Notamacropus eugenii: one gene and its partner. Each later gene encodes a partner of the first gene's protein in a complex. Links are inferred from orthologs where the notes say so. Each region holds a gene or a part of one and is shown in the gene's direction. Other genes may lie near its edges. The genes, in order: XAB2 and PPIE.

Region 1 (8,581 bases):
CTAGTTTGTGTGACCCTGAGCAAGTCACTTAACCCTGTTTGCCTCAGTTTCCTCATCTGTAAAATGAGCAGGAGAAGGAAAGGGCAAACACTCTAACATCTCTGCCAAGAAAACCCCAAGTGGGGTCACAAAGAGTTGGACACTGCAACAACCGAACAACAACAAATCAAGTCGTCATTCACAATAACCCTATGAAGTAAATGGTGCAAATTAACTGAATTTTACAAAGGAGGAAATTAAGGTTATGTGACTTCCTACCAGCTGGGTCATCGTAGCCAAGTCACAAAGCCTGTCAGCACCTCAATTTCCTCAAAACAAATACAATAATAATCAAACCCCTCACCTCACAGGGCAGGTGTCCCAACAGCAGTTTGCAAACACTAACGTGAAATTTGTCAATTGTTTTTGCCCAAGGTCAGAAAGATGGTAAGTGACAAAGTTAGGATCTGGGCTTTGGTACTTTTTAACTGTGAGTTTTCCTTTTCCACCTAATCAAGAAGCCTTGATGGTATTTACACCTGCTACGTGCTAGCACCGTGCTCAGTACTGGGAATAAAAAGGAAGTGAAAAATCGCCTGCCCTCGTGAAACTTACATTCTAAAGTCATGTAAGGTGTACAAAGAGATATATACAAGAAACATAGAGGATGGATACAAAGTAACCTCAATCCAAAATAAATTTCTTTGTGGGTTACATTTAACTATTCACCTCTCTCATCCAGTTACCAGTTCCTATTGACAGTTACATTGAGGCAGCTAGCTGATGCAGAGAAAGCAGTGCCAGACCGGCATTCAGGAAGACTTGAGTTCAAATCCAGCCTCAAACACTTCCTGGCAGTGTGATCCTGAGCAAGTCATGTAATCTCTTTTAGCCTCAGTTTCCTCAACTGTAACATGGGTATAATAGCAGCACCTACTTGTCAGGACTGTTGTGAGGACACAATGAGATAATAATTGAAAAGTGCCTTGCACATAGTAGGTCCTATATTACTGTCAGTTACTGTTGTTCTTATTATCCCTTTCTCTCTGCTCACATTTCCACCACCCTAGGAAGTCCTTCATTACTTTCTATTGAACTATTGCAACAGCCTCCTAATTGGCCTCCTTGCCTCCAATCTCCTCTCCTACAGTCCATACAGCTTCATATTCATAAAGCATAGGACACTGACCCAGAGAAGTCATTTGCCCTTCAAGGCCATACAGTTAGTAACTGAGGCTAGATTTGAATCCATGTCTGCCTATCTCTTAATCCATTATTCTACATTGTTTCAGAATCAGCAGGGAACCACTGAACCTCCCCAAGCTGGGGAAGCGTGAGTGGCTCCCTATTGCTTCTGGGATAAAATGCCAACTCTTCTGTTTGGCATTTAAAGCCCCCTCCAATCTGGCTCTCACTTCTCCCTTCAAATTTCCATATTATAACATTTTACATTATTCCCCTCACCCATTTTACCCTCCTGCCACACTGGCCAACTTGATGCTCCCCACGAATGAAATTCTGTCTCCTCTTTCCACATCTCCCATACCTAGCAGGCTCCGTGTCATCTCCTCTGTACCCTGGCACCCCCATCTTCCTTCAGTGGGGCTCAAGCACCACCACCTCCAGGAGAACTTTCCTGCTTCCTCCAATTGTTAATGCTGCCCATTGTTATTTTGTATATATTCTGTATTTCCTTATCTATCCTTCTCCCACACCCACCCCCTGCTGTAAAATCCTTGAAGGCAGGCACTGAATTGTTTTTGTCTTTGTATCCTAGCACCTGGTGGCATGTACTCAGTAAGTACTCAGTAAATGCTTCTAGAATTGAATTGAATTCCTGATTTCCTTCTTTCCTGGCCTCTAAGCTATCCTTCACAACACTGTTGGAATAATCTTCCTTCCACACAGATCTGCTCGTGTCATTTGACTCAAAGATTTTCAGTGACTCCTTACAGGCTACCAAGTAAAGTTCAAACTACTTTGCTTGACAAGAAAGACCCTCTCCTATCTTGGGTCATTCTGCCTTTACAAACTTCTCTCATTTACTCCCTTCCAGGCAAACTGGACAATTCAAAATCAAGAATCCTGGAACTAGCAGGGACCTCAGAACAAATTCAGTTCAGCTCACACCTTAACAAGATTCCCCTCTATAACACCCCCCAACAAGTTCAAAGCTTCATCAAAGAAGAGAAGAAAACCTGTCAATTATGAGCCACTCAGCTTGACTTCAGTTCTTGGGGAAATTCTAAAATACCACAGTGGATGGCTAGGAACCATCCAGACAAGGAAGCAGTGACTGAAAAGAGCCAGTTCAGCTTCAAGGACAGGTCATGCCAGGCGAATTTTCTTTTCTTTTCTGAAAGTGATTAATAGCTTAAATTGTAGATAGAGTTTACTTGGATCTTCACAAAGCATTTGGTAAAGTATCTTATTCCATTCTTGAGGAAAACATGGACTAGACTACGATACAATTTGTTGTTGATCAGTCACGGCCAACTCCTCATGGCCCCATTTGGAATTTTCTTGGCAAAGATACCGGAGTGGTTTGCCATTTCCTTCTCCAGCTCATTTAACAGATGAAGAAACTGAGGCAAACTGGGGTGAAGTCACTTGTCCAGGGTCACACAGCTACTGGATGTTTGAGGCCAGATTTGAACTCAGTTCAAGGAGTCTTCCTCACTGTAGGCCCAGCACTTTATCCACTGTGCCATCTAGCTGCCCTATAATACAATTAGGTAGATTTAAAACTAGATGAAAGATCAGACTCAAAAGACGAGTCATTAGGAGTTCAATGTCAATAAACAGAAGGTCTCCAGTGAAGTGGCCTGAGTGGCCCAAGGTGGGTTATTTAGCATTTTTAACCAAATACTTAGACAAAGGAATAGATAGCATGCTCATCAAGTCTGTAGATAACACAGAACTGGGAACTAGATAAGAACAGTTAACATACTATATGGCAAGATCAGGATCCAAAAAAGATCTTGACATGCAGGAACAATGAGTTAAGGCTAATAAAATGAAATTCAATATGGACAAATGTAAAGTCTTAGACTTGAGTTAAAAAAAAATTAACTTCACAATGGAAGTTTGAGAAAAAAACTGGATGTTTTTAGAGAACTCAATAAATCAGCAGTGAGATGTGGCCATCCAAAAAAAACTAATTCCATTTTGGGAAGATGTTAAGAGAGTTAAAAAAGATAAGGCAAGAGACAGTGTGGAACAGTGGCCAGACAGTGTTGGAGCAAGCAAGAGCTGGGTCAAGTTCAGGCTTTAAAAAATGCTGGCTTCCAAAAGACTCCGATGGAAAATGCCATCCACATCCACAGAAAGAAAGAGGGAGTCTGAATGCAGATCTTTTTTTGTTTAGTTTACGTTCGTTTTTTTCTTTCTCATGGTTCCTCTATTTCAGTCTAATTCAGAAGAAGAGATACAAGGACACTCTCAAGGTCTCTCTTGAAAACTTTGGATTTGACCGTGCAACATAGGAGACACTGGAACAGGACCACTCAGCATGGCATGCCCACATCAGAAAGGGTGCTGTGCTGTATGTATGAGCAAAGCAGAATTGAGACAGCACTAAGTAAACGTAAGATGCATAAATTTGGAGTATCCACCCCAAATATTCACATGGACTATTTGTGCCCAACCTGCAGTACAGCACTCTAAGCTCGTGTTGGTCTGATCAGCCACAGTCAGACACACTGAAATTTCACTTTATCATATCATTTTGGCCCTCTTCAAGAACGCAGGACAACAACCAACCAACCAATATTTTTATACAACATGACTAATGTGAAAATATGTTTAATAAGAATGTATATGTAAAGTCTATATGGGATTGCATGCCAGCTTGGGGAGGAGAAGAGAAAATTTAAAAATAAATCAATTTATAAAACACACACGGGCACACACACGATGGCTGAATGACTCTGGGCAAATCACTTAATCTGTCTATGCAAGGCCACTCTCTGTGATTACAGGTTAAAGAGAAGATGCTGACCAGTACTGTTAGGAGTTCCTCCTGGGAGCTTCCTATACCTATGAAATCACAGCTCTAGTACAATCTCTATCCCATAGTTTCCAAAATAAGGACGTGACAGGACCACTGTCTCCTAGTGCAGTCCTTAGAGTGGACTTAGGGTACAAATCCCACCTCAAACACTTACTATGCCCTGGACCAGTCGCTTAACCTAAGCCTCGGTGTCCTCATCTGTAAAAAGGGTAATAACTACCTGCATCCCAGGGTTGTTGTGACGATTAAATGAGATGCTATTTGTAAAGCACTCAGCACATATCAGGCGCTTAATAGATGCTTGCTCCCTTCCTTGCAAGGACAAAAAGAGATATTTGTAATGTACTTTGCAAAACGTTAAAGCACTACGTAAATACATCATCATCACCATCATCATCATCATCATCATCATCCTCATCCTCATCATCATCATCATCATCACCATCATCATCATCATCCTCATCCTCCTCCTCCTCATCATCATCATCCTCATCCTCATCACCATCATCATCATCATCATCACCATCATCATCATCATCTTCATCATCCTCGTCATCGATCAGATCTCATCTAGAGTCGTCTGCCTGGTTCTAGGCACCATAGCTTAAGATCACGGAGTGACAGAGGAGGGTGACCTCAAGGTGAAGCTTCCTGAGTTCCTATCACTTGAAGACTGGGTGAAGGAAGTGGGAGTGTTTAGCCAGAAGAAGAGAAAGCTGGGGAAGGGCAGGAGTAGACTTGGGAGAGGAGAGGGCTGCTGGGTTCAAGTATTTGAAGGGTTGTCACGTGCAAAGCCCTATAAAGAGCCTCGGAAGGGTCGTGAAATGACGTCTTTAGGCTGCACTTGAGGTAACGCTGCCTAACCAGGAGATGAGGGGGCAGTCAGGTAATGTGGGTGTGGAGGGAATGTCAACAGCGGATTCTTGTTCAGCCCCTAGGTTCCATCCCCAAAGACCCCTATCTGCCCTCCACCCGGGCCCCGAGAAGCACTGTCCCACACGCTCCCGTGCCCCAGCACTGACCCGAAAAACCTCCAGCTTCACCCCCATCTTGTTAGGTCCGACGGCTGCTTCCGCCAGTCTCTGAAGCCACATCCGCCCAAAACTAGACGCCGCAGCAAGACGTACGTTCATTGGCTAGAGCTCGAGCTTGGACGCTGGAGTCCATTGGCTGGAGCGGCTCAAAGCGGAAGTGAAGCGTGAAGAGGGTGTCCCGCCTCTTCCCCTAGTCTTAAACAGGCGGAAGTTGTTCTGAGGGAGAGCACGGAAGTGAGCTGCATCCGGCCAATGAGAAACAGTACCAGGACGGATGGAGGCGGGACCACAGCGTAAGGGCTGGTGAGTGCAGCGGAAGAAGACGCAGGGATGCCCGAGATCGGGGACGCAGATGCAGCCGAGGCAAAGCTGAAGGCTCGGCCCGAGAGGCCCGACCTCTTCTTCGTGAGTACGAGCGGGAGGAGCGCACAGACGCAGTGGGCTCCACGGGACAGCGGGCGGACTCCGAAACCTGCGATAGGGAGACGCCGGCCCGATGGAGGCAAGGAGTGCGCAGACGCGACTCCGAGCTCCTGGAAGACTGCGCAGGCGCAAGAGAGAGCCCCCGCTAACCTGGGAGTGGGCGAAGTGGAGGCTGCGCTGGTTGGGATCAGCCAGGCTCCTCCTCTCCTTGTGCTATTCGTCAGAGACTAAGTGGGCGGGGCGGCCGAGGGCGTGGTGCAGACCCAGAGTGAGCCGTAGGGAGCCATTGCAGGTTCTTGAGCGGAGCAGAGAAAAGAATCATGCCCTCAAAGACCCTCTCCGTGATACTCTTTATTTCTTACCAGATGCTGAGATTTGCTCCGAATCTTGCATCTGCGACTTCCCAGTAGAGCTCAGACTCCTTTGCTTGGCATGCCAGGCTTGCCACAATCTAGCCCCTTTCCAAACGTATTATTCTCCTCTTGAAGAATGAGGCTGCCGATAGGAGTAGGAGCCATGCTCTTCTGCCTGTGTGCCCCAGGTTCCTGGGATGCTGTGTCCCTTTCTTCACCTCTGAATTTCTGGCTTCCTTTTAAAGCCGGGTGCTTGCGCCCCCTCCTCCAGGCAGCCTTCCTGAATCTCCTCTCCCTGAGCCAATGACACCCCGTCAGACCTCATCCAGCCTTGTACCCCTTCTGCTGCACCTACTCACTAACATTATCTATTGTAGTTTTCTAGCTTAATGCCTTTCTTTTAAACTGTAAGCTGCACAAGGACTGGGGCAAAGTTATATCCTGCTTACTATGTGAAAAACTTGTAAAGAAAGAGGTTTTTCCCCCTGCTTGGATGCAGGAGGTAGAATTAAGAGCAGTGGATGGAAATTTAAAAGAAGTGGATCTAGGTTTGATGTTAGAAAAAAGCATACTTAGAGTTAGAGGTGTCTCATCATTGAACATCTTCAAGCTGAGGCAGCAGGATCACTTTTGGGGATAGAGCTCTGAGAGTGAAGTCAGAAAGACCTGAGTTCAAATCCAACCTCAGACACTTCTAATTGTGTGACTTTGGGCAAGTTACTTAAATGCTATTTGCCTCACTTTCTTCATCTGTAAAATGGGGGTGATAATGGCACCTACTTCCTAATTGTTGTGGGGATCAAAAGGGATGATAATTATAAAGTTCTTGGCACATAGTAAGTGCTTTGTGAATGTTACCTATTATTGTGATCATTAAGCACAGTACTTGGCTCAGAGTAAGTGCTGTATGAATGTTACCTATTATTGTCATCCTTATTATCTAGAGCACTTAGCACAGTGCCTGGCCCATAGGAAGTGCTCTATAAATGTTAGCTATTATCATAAGTGTGTGGACTGGATGTTCTTTGAAGTCCCTCCAGCTCTTAAGATTCTGTGAGTACTTGAACCTGGTGTCAGAGCCCTATGAAGTCCTCTGCTGTAGTAGGTATTTAATAAAGATGGGGTGAATTGGATTACATCAGAGCTGGCACTGGCATGCAAGCCCTTGACAAGTCTGATGGAATGGTGGGAGGTGGAGAGATGGGAGCCAAGGAGAAGGCTATTGCTATGATGAGTGAGGATAGAGAGAAAAGAGAGGATGTTGGGAGTGTTTCTAAGGGACACTGAGCCATATGCAGAGACTAGGTAATATGGGGGAATAAGCTGTTGCAGGATTTAGAATTGAAAGATTGCTTTATCATACAGATCCTAGAACAAGGCATGCGTATAGAAGTATCTGTCCAGTGAAAGACACAAACTGTCTCAGACTTGGAAGGGACTTCAGTGACTTTCTAATCCAACCTGTACTGGAACAAGAATTCCTTCTCCATTAAGCTTAATCACCTAGCCATTGGATAAGGGCTTCAGATAAGGAGAAACCCAGTACCTCCAGTGGTAGCTCATTCTGCTTTGAGATAGTCCCACTTATTGGAAGGTTTTTCCCGTCATCAAACCTAAATATGCCACTTTTTCCAATGACCTGCAAGCTGGGTACTTGCTTAGAGAGGAAACAAGAATTTAGTGAGTAAACCAAGTGGGTGCTTGAAGTGGGGCTTTCAAACAGGAAGACACACATCATCTGATCCCCTGAGGCCCAGAAACTTGAACTGGTTTGCCTAGGGTCACATAAGAAATATAAAAGCTGGGATTTTACCTGGAGTCTCCTGACTCATTCCACTGTGGCACAGTTGTCTCAGTGAGAGAGAGACCAGCCTTCTGGGGGTGGGAATCAGGGTGAGGAGGTGGAGATTTAGGGGATTCAGAGTGCTAGGTTTGGGAAGGAGAAGGCCTGGCTTATTTGAGGAACTCTGATCTGACCTCTTGTCTCCCTAGGAAGAAGAGGATTTGCAGTATGAGGAGGAAATCCTTCGCAACCCTTTCTCTGTCAAGTGTTGGTTTCGGTACATTGAGTTCAAACAGAGTGCATCACAGGCTGTGCTCAATCTGCTGTATGAGCGAGCCCTCAAGGAGCTGCCTGGGAGGTGAGGGTCCCTCCCACTTTCCAACCTCCCCTCCCTCTCCTTTCCCCATGGGGCAACACAGTACAGGAAAGTGGAGCATGAGCAAAGAAAAGGAAAAGGCTGGGACAGTGTACACAAGCATATTTCCTCTCCTGTCACCCAGTTACAAGCTATGGTACCACTACCTGAAAGCCCGCCGGGCCCAGGTGAAGCGCCGCTGCGTGACTGACCCTGCCTATGAGGATGTCAACAACTGCCACGAGCGGGCCTTGGTCTTCATGCACAAGGTAAGCCTTTGGTGACGAGGGCCAGGGGGCAAAAGGAATCTCAGGCCAGGGCTGGAGATGTGGGAGCATGAGGGGACCTCTGCCTTCTCCTTGCTACAGATGCCACGGCTGTGGTTGGATTACTGCCAGTTCTTGATGGAGCAGGGCCGCATTACTCGGACCCGGCGTACCTTTGACCGTGCCCTGAGGGCTCTGCCCATCACTCAGCACTCTCGCATCTGGCCCCTCTATCTTCGCTTTGTACGTTCCCACCCTTTGCCTGAGACTGCAGTGCGTGTGTACCGCCGCTTCCTCAAGGTGAGCTGTGCAGAGGGTCCAAGGGAGTGGGCAGCAGATCATGCAACTGTAAGATTTCCTGCCCCTTGCCACCCAA
Region 2 (8,335 bases), on another chromosome or scaffold:
GTGGAGACTTCTTCAGTTACTACAGACTGAACAAGACATGGCAGAAGAAGCTGCTGCCATTCTGGAGATTTTTTCTTTTGAAAAAATCAACTTGAAAGGTCAATTCTTAAAACCCTAAGAAGTTTTCCAGTGGTCAAAATGGGCAGGTTTCTTGTGTGTTGCCTGGACCCTGTTAATCTTTAATTTAATTTTATTTAATTTTTCTCTTCTAAAAAAGCTTTTCTGACAGTATTTTTGTTTTGGTTTTATCAGGAATTGGTTTTATTTGACGTATCCAATTTACAGAGTCTGGAAAAGTGTTTCTCAATAAAGAAGTAAAACCTTCATAAATTGCCTCTTTATTTTTATTCCCATATTTTCAAACTCTACTGGAGTTTATTTGACTTATGTCAAAAATAAGTCCAAGTTTTCACTGGAAGGAGTCTTAGGAACACAAATAAGTCAGAATGGAATTGCACAGATAGTTTGTTATTCCTTGTTTGTTCTGGTTTTCCAAGCAGTTTGCTATTTCCTAGGTAATGAGGAGGACTGTTTGGGGTTGTCATTAAATTGACATGTTAAAATATGATCCTGTCACACTTGAACTGTCACATTAGAACCCAAAAGCTCCTCATAAATAGGAAATGTTTATATTGGCTTCAGTTATGTACAATGAATAGTTTTTTACCAAGTTTCAAGCCAAGACTGGACTTAAATGCTTGCATGGGGAACTTCAAAGAACGTTTCAGGGGTCAGAAAACGAATTTTTATTTAGAAAGTGGCATTGCTTTTGGATATTATTGAAGTAGTGCCACAGGGTCATCTGAACTATAGCTTCCTTTAATAGCAAACTTTATAGTATGCTTTTTATTCAGTTTAATACATAATCCATTCCAAAAGGCCAGCCTAGTGACCATCTGGAAGTAGAGGGGATCTGGAGTCTGTGGTGTCACGTAGTATCTATGACCTTTTGGGGATGCGTAATCTTATCTACCTCATTTTCTAAGGATGATAGCACCTGTGCTTATAAATGTTGTACGTAGCTTTGCCTGTTGCTCCACTCTTTGCCATGTGAAGTTGGTAGTTTTGACCCAATGCCACACTATCGGAGGCATGTGCTGAGTTGGCTTTGGCAGCGCAGGCTTCATGCAACAAGTAGAGATATGAAACCTGAGTTTTAAGAGTTGGACTTTTTAAATTGTGAAATGTCATATTTTAGTACATCACAAATCTCCTTAAAGAATCAGGATTACACTAGCTCAAAAGTATTAAACTGGATGAGGTGGTGTGGTTGAGTCACAATTTCCACTGACAGGGCTGACTACCATGTCAGATGGCTTACAATTACATATTCTGTTTGCTGTGCTATCCAGCTGCCTCCTAGTAGGGACTTTAATAAATTTTGGATGACTGATCATTTGAAGTATTGGGACCTACTAAGTACTGTATGAGCAAGAACACAACTAAAGATTTTTTTACAATTTTAAGTTCCAAATTCTCATCCTCCTTCCTTTACCTATTCAAGGAAAAAAAAAACAAAACCCATTACAGTTACGTACAGTGATGCAAAACATTCCCTCAGCCTTGTCTAAAAAAACAAAATATGCCTCAATTTGCTGTTAAGTCTGTCAGCTCTGTATCATAAGCATGTTTCATCACATCTTTTGAAGCTGTAGTTGGGTAATGTATTGATCAGTGTTGTCAAAGTCAATAGTATTCCATCATATCCCCAACTGAAGAACATCCTCCTCAGTTTCTGATTCTTTTCCACCACTTGTGCTTTGATCTCTGGGATACAGACCTGGTGTTTCTGGATCAAAGTATGCAGTTTTGAGGGGGGTAGTTCCAAATTGCTTTCTAGAATGTTTGAGCTAGTTCACCACTTTACTTGCAGTGCACCTGTTTTCCCACAACCCCTTCCAGCTATGATTTTCCATTTTTGTCATCTTTGCCAATCTGGTGGGTATGAGATAGTACCTCATAGTTGTTTTCATTTACATTTCTCTAATATTAATTTAAAGCATCTATTCATGTGGTCATTTATAGCTTAGAATTCTTCTCTAAAAATTTCCTATTCATATTCCTTAATTGGAGAATGGATACCAGAAGATGTTTAGAAGCAAAAAATCCTAGAATTCTGGGGTGCATTAGCTTTTGAATCAATATGCTTAACGTTTGCCAAATACACTTATTACTAATGTATCTGTAACATTCAATTCAATTTGTCCCGTGGAGGAATTCCCACTCAGGTATTTACCTCAAGGGTAAACCATTCCTTGTTTAATAAGGGTAGTCTAGAAGGACAGGTTGAACTGTCAACAAACCATGTTTGAAGAAACCAAATGAATGAGGCCACAGCCTCTGGGAGCACTAAAAAAATTAGTCCTACAAGCTGCCTGGGAATCTACAGCTAGTAATCACTAGCTTGTCCAAAGACCAAAACTGCACATCCCCAGAAATGCGGCAAGCTGAAATGTGGCTTCTGGAGGAAAGATGCAGGAGTTCTTGAAAATCTTGAGCACCACCCACTTTGTAATGAGTGGTAGCTATTCAACTCCACAGTTCTATTGTAGCCCATCCTGGCACCGATAGCTTGCCAACCCCACGTGACCTGTACACTTGTGAATGTAAAATCCTTTGAGCCCCTCTTTAATAGTTTTAGAATTTGAAGATGTTTATTCATTAAGTCAGGGAACTGAGACTTGGGTTCAGTAGTTCAAACTGTTCCCTGGTAAGAAGTTTTTGGAATGTATGAGCTGTCTTTGGAGTTAATGGCTTCCCCTTTGCCAGAGTTTCTGAAGCTACGTTTGGGTGATCATTTGACTGGGATGTTCAAAGACGCCTCAGGTTCCTTCTAACTTTTGTAATTGTGAAGCGACACCCTTTGGTCGGATGCTACCCTTTGAGCAAGATTATTCAGTGAAGCTCTAAAACTGAAGGGCTTCAAAGTAATTGAAGAAATAATTCCCTACTAGAAAGCTTACTGATTTTCTTGGCATAGACCTTTTTCCATTTTGGTTACTTTACTCTGTATGCTTTGCAGCTCATCAGCATCCTTCCCAAATTATGGCACCCAGAACATCACTATTTCAAATGTGGTCCAACAAGAGTGGCAGAAGGGGAGGGACTGTTCCTTAAAGCTTGTCTTCATTCAGTCCAAGACTAACTTGGGTTTTCTTTCGGTCATCTCATACTGCGGATTCATTGCACTTTAGCTCACCCAAACTCACAGGTCTTTTTGTCAGATAAACCAATCAGAATTCTAGAGTTGGAAGAGTTCTCACTGTTTCTCTCTAGTCTTCATAATCAACATTTTGACAAATGGACATCTAGCATTACTAATCTAACCAAGCCTGTCCTATTGTACTTGTGAAGTTGGTTCTTTTAACCCAAATAAAGTAAGACTTTACTTTCATCTGTTTTAGATTAGGCCAATGTTTTACCTCATCAAGATCATTTTGCATCCTGAACTTCAATCAATGTTACCCCACCCACCTTTGTATGAGTTGCAGATCTGGTTTGTGTAACTTTTTTAAAGATTGTTTTTATTGGCTGGATGTGTTAAATTCCAGAATCTAATTATTAATGCCTAGTGATTTCTACTTTAGGATGGATTTAAACTAGATAGGACAAATAAAGCCGTAGATGTGTCTATATGTTTATACATCCTTAAAAAATAACTTCACTCTAATGAAAAAAAAGCTGATCCTTCCCATCCCACCAGCCTTCTTCTCTATAAATGAGGGGGTAAGGTGTCTTCTCAATATCTTTGCTTTTTATTAAGATCACCGATAAAAATGTTAAATATCACAGGGCCAAGCACAGATTCCTGGGACCCTGTACCAAACAGTGCCCTTCAAGTTGAGTCCAACCAGTTCCAAATCCAACAAATTAGCATTATGGAGCCCCATCATTTCCACAAGAATCCTATTAAATAACTCTCAGAAGCTCTGCGAAAATCTGGGTAAACCACAGAGCATTCTTCTCATTTATCTTGGAGCCTGTCAAAACCCATCACAAGGCAGGCCAGCTCTCTCTGTGATCATCTCTCTAGATCCTCCTCTAGATCTTCGACCAAAATTAAACCAGCCTCACTGGCCTGCACTGTCAGATCCTTTCCTCCCTTTTTAAAATATGGGGACACTTTGCCCCTCTCTGGCCCCAGAGGACCAGCCTCCCAGGTCACGGAAGCCAGTCCTGAGAGATGCCCGCTGGCACTGCCCCTCCTGTGGGTGAGGGGAGCTGAAAGATTGCTTGTGACTGCCCGAGTCCTTCTCAAGCACTCAGGAGGAACTTCAGTGCCCACAGTGGCAGCGCCGGGCGCCATCCGCCTCCAGTGCCCGCCCCCCCCTTTCCTCCGATGTGCCAAGAACCACAAGGAGAACAAAAGGCCCGCTAGCCCCCCTTTTAGCTCTGGTGTGCGACCCCCCGGGGTGTTCCGGCCAGACACTGGAGGGGTCGGCCATTCCCTTCCCCAGCGCATTTTACAGATGAGGAAACTGAGGCAAACAGGGTGAGACGCCGCAGCGAGGACGTGTCGGAGGCGGGACTGGACCCTCCGGACCCGACTCCGGGACAGTGGTCGTCCCCTCCCCCAACACGCGTTTTCATCTTCGGTGGAATTCCCGCGTTGCTAGACGGGCCAAGCGGGCCGGCCGTTCCCTCACGCAAGCCCAGGACATGACGTCAGAGCGCACAACGTCCCGGGGCCCCGCCCAGAGGCCGCCCCCCGGGCACCGCGGCCGGGTCATTGGCGAGTGCCCTACAACGTGGGCTTCTGGTGGGCACGCATTAAAAAACCACTCTCTCAAGTGAGTAGCTAAGCGCCACGGCAAACATCTAAGGCCGCCCATTCACTCCTTTCTCTTCCACTCCAATCTCCTCAAAGAAAAGCGCGATTGGTGACGCCACGTCGGCCCCAGGCTGCGCCTGCGCACAAAGCCTCCTCTTAGCTCGGCCAGCCTATGGCTGCGGCGGGACTCCGAGGAACGCAACGCCCTCTGCTACTGGGCGTGGGCGGAAATAGGGGCGGAGGGAGTCGTCGACTTCCGCCTCGTAGCCCGACGCAAGATGGCCGCCACCAAGCGGGTCCTATATGTAGGTGAGTGGAATTTCACCGCACTGGGTGGGGGCAGAGGTCGAGGTTCCAGCAGGAGTGGTTTTCTACCTGGCCTAGGGATGCTGGGCCGGTGAGGAGAGTCTGGAGGGAGGCCTTGGCCCTCAGGCCTGGTAGGACAAGGGAGAGATTGTGCGGGGCTAGCTATCGCGAGACTTGGCTGACAGCTCGGGGGTGGGACCCAGCTCAGTTTGTGCTGGGGGCGGGGCGAGTGATTGGAGGCGGGGCTGAGGGGCGGGGCGCGCTCTGCGCTCCGTGGTTGGGTGCTGAAGGGGTCACGCGGTTCAGTTGTGTAAGCGTTCTTTTACTTGTAGGTTACCTTTGCCTGCTGGTGTATCCCCCTGCAGGAAGTAGCCTTCAAACTGGCGATTAATAAATGCTGCCTGTGGCACTGGGGATGGGGGCTGGACCTGTAATTTCCGTGGTCCAGGGTACTCCCGGGTGAGGACACGCCCCTCACCTGTAGGCAGGCAAAAGGTGTCACCCTGGAGCCCGCAGCGCAGCCTGCACCATTTATTAAATGCCTGTTGTGTGCCAAACCCCTACTAAGTGTTGGGGACCTAAAAGACGGTTGTCCCAGCTGCAAGGGAGTCTGAGGACACGGGTCCGAGTATTCCTGACCCCACTGGGGGTTTTCTTGGCAAAGATCTTGGAGTGGTTTGCCATTTCCCTTTCCAGCTCATTTTACAGATGGGGAAACTGAGGGAGGCAGAATGAAGTGACTTGACCAGGCCAGATTTGAACTCAGATCTCCCTAACTCCAGACCTGGCCCTCTCTCCGCTCTGCTGCCTAGCTGAGAAGGGAACATAGTAGACATTAATAGAGTGACCGAATGCTTGTTCACCAAGGAACTTCCCCAGCCTTTTTTAAAAATTTTATATTTTTTTACATTTATTTATTTTTAGTTTTCAACATTCACTTTCATAAATTTTAAATTTGTTCCCCTCCTTCCTCCCTCCTCTCCTCGAGACAGCATGCTGCATATATATTCCTATTAAGCATATTTTCACATTAGTCATGTTGTATAGAAGAATTAGATGAATGGGAGGCACTGATGAGGGCTGGAAGGGGGCAGTGAGACCCTTACAAAGACCAGGGTACCAGGGGCAGGTCACCTGGAAGGAATCCATGCATGGTCTCAAGCCTTCTTGAGGTCAAAGTAAAGATTTATTACACTTCTCAGTGGCCAAGAATTCTTAAGGAACCTGTGATTTGAGTGGAGTACAGTTAAAGTTTATAGAGGATATTTTATTGTAAAACATGTGCCAAGTGTGAGGACTAGGTGATTCAGGGCAGGATTAGGGAGTGGTTAAGGGGTGATTCGTTCTTAAAGGAACATGCACTTTCAGGGTCGACTGTGCAGATATTTTACCCAGAGTCCATTGGGAAATAACCCAAGAGGGGTGCTACATGGAGGTGTGGTTTTAGGCCTGAAACATCACCAAGTCAACTGAGGGTCGGGACTGACTCAGGAATGCCAGGCTGCTCTCATCAGTGTCTTGTTAGACAAGATAAATGTAATGGAGTATACGTATGTCTAAGTCTAGGACACATATGATTGGTCAGTGAGTAGAAAACATCGTTACGACCCAGTGCACAGTCCATTCAGCCAGTACACAGCTGGTTCAGACTAATAAATTCTATTGGTGCAGCTGGCTGCTGTATCAGGAAGGGAGATACAAGTTTTGCTAGGCCAGGCTGTGTCCTTGGGCTGGGGAGAAACTGCGTGAGATTGTTTTGAGGATAGGGAGAAATGTGATTTTTAGAGAGATGTTATTTTAAAGTTGGGGTTCAAGCTCAGGCACCCAAGCACCTTATCAGAACCATGAGAAAGAAAGAAAATAGTCTGCTTCACTCTGCATTCAGACTCCATAGTTCTTTCCCTGGATGCAGATGGCTTTCTCCACCATGAGAAGGACCTCCCCTGTGAAGGACAACATTGCAAATCCCTGCTTGCTTTCCAGTTTCTCTCCCCTTCACTGGGACCTGTTTAGCTCAGACTAGACTTTCTAAGGAATCCGTCTGACCCTGTCATTTTTGTGCTTAAAACCCTTCCCTGGGCAGGCATTTTCAGAAGCCCCTTCCCATTGTGCTGCGCTGCCCTGAGGATTACAGAACACAAAAGGTAAACAGTCCCTGTTCTCCCAGGAGCGTACAGTCTGCCCAAGGAGACAGCATGTACATATATAAGTACATGCAAAATATGACACGGCAGGGAAAGGTGTAGTGCAGAAGGTGGTCCGTGAGCTGAACTGTGAAGGAATCAGGGATTTTGATAGAAGGGGGGAGTTGGTGATTTCCAGGCATGTGCAAAGGCATGGAGATGGGAGATCTAGCTGGATGATCCTGAGCAAGTCACTTGTTTGCCTCATTTTCCTCAAATGAAAAAATGGGGAATATAATAGCCCCTACCTTCCAAGATTGTGGTGAGGATCAAATGAGATAATGATTGTAAAGTGCTTACCAAGTGCCTGAGACAGAGTAAGTGATAAATAAGTGTTAGCTGTTGTTATTGCATACACGTAGGGCGTAGCCTGTCAGGTGCATCAAGCACATTACTGGCACACAGTGTCATGGATTTAGAGCTGTTAGCTCTAAGGGACACTGTAGGTCACTTGGTGCAAGCCCATCCACTTAGACTTTGAGTTGGACTCTTGTCCCTAACCATAGGGCTGGAGCATACATGGAAGAGAATTGAAAAGGATGCCTTTGCTTCATTTGTAGGGGGCCTTGCAGAGGAGGTGGATGAGAAGGTCCTTCATGCTGCTTTTATCCCTTTTGGAGACATCACAGACATTCAGATACCGCTGGATTATGAAACAGGTGAACATGTTTATTACTTCTTTTTCTTTATCTTAGGGAGAAGAGTTCAGAAGTATCAAAGGAAAACTACACTCTGACTTGTTGTAACATGGGGGGAACAGCTGTGCCTTGACTGAAGAACCGGGTTCTGGGAACCATCAGATCAGTGGTATGGTAGGGAGGGCACTGAACTGAGGTTTGGGAAGACCAGGGTTCATATCCCATCTCATATATTTAAGAGCTGTGTCATTCTGGCTAAATCCTTCCATCTCTGTGAGCTTCAGTTTCCTTATCTGTAAAATGACGATAATATTTGCACCAGCCTCACAAGGTTGTTGTAAAGTTCATATAGAATAAGGTATGTAAAGTGCTTTGCTGGTCTTAAGCCCTTGTATTAATGGGATCTCTTACACTTGGGCCCAGTGGGATGACCAGCT

What was found.
Region 2: XAB2 (region 1) and PPIE share a complex: the UniProt entries of both Homo sapiens proteins name them as parts of the XAB2 complex. The link is inferred for Notamacropus eugenii from reciprocal best matches to the Homo sapiens genes XAB2 and PPIE.

What each region holds. Positions count from the first base shown.
Region 1 is NC_092875.1:51,394,323-51,402,903, reverse strand, and holds the start of XAB2 (pre-mRNA-splicing factor SYF1), read left to right. Parts: upstream 1-5,328; 5' UTR 5,329-5,355; coding exon 5,356-5,430; intron 5,431-7,793; coding exon 7,794-7,942; intron 7,943-8,084; coding exon 8,085-8,208; intron 8,209-8,307; coding exon 8,308-8,505; intron 8,506-8,581. Other genes in the region: protein PET100 homolog, mitochondrial, read right to left, coding at 5,014-5,124. UniProt on the Homo sapiens protein: Involved in pre-mRNA splicing as component of the spliceosome. Involved in transcription-coupled repair (TCR), transcription and pre-mRNA splicing.
Region 2 is NC_092876.1:79,570,994-79,579,328, forward strand, and holds the start of PPIE (peptidyl-prolyl cis-trans isomerase E), read left to right. Parts: upstream 1-4,670; 5' UTR 4,671-5,049; coding exon 5,050-5,080; intron 5,081-7,820; coding exon 7,821-7,919; intron 7,920-7,955; exon of another isoform or gene 7,956-8,067; intron 8,068-8,335. UniProt on the Homo sapiens protein: Involved in pre-mRNA splicing as component of the spliceosome. Combines RNA-binding and PPIase activities.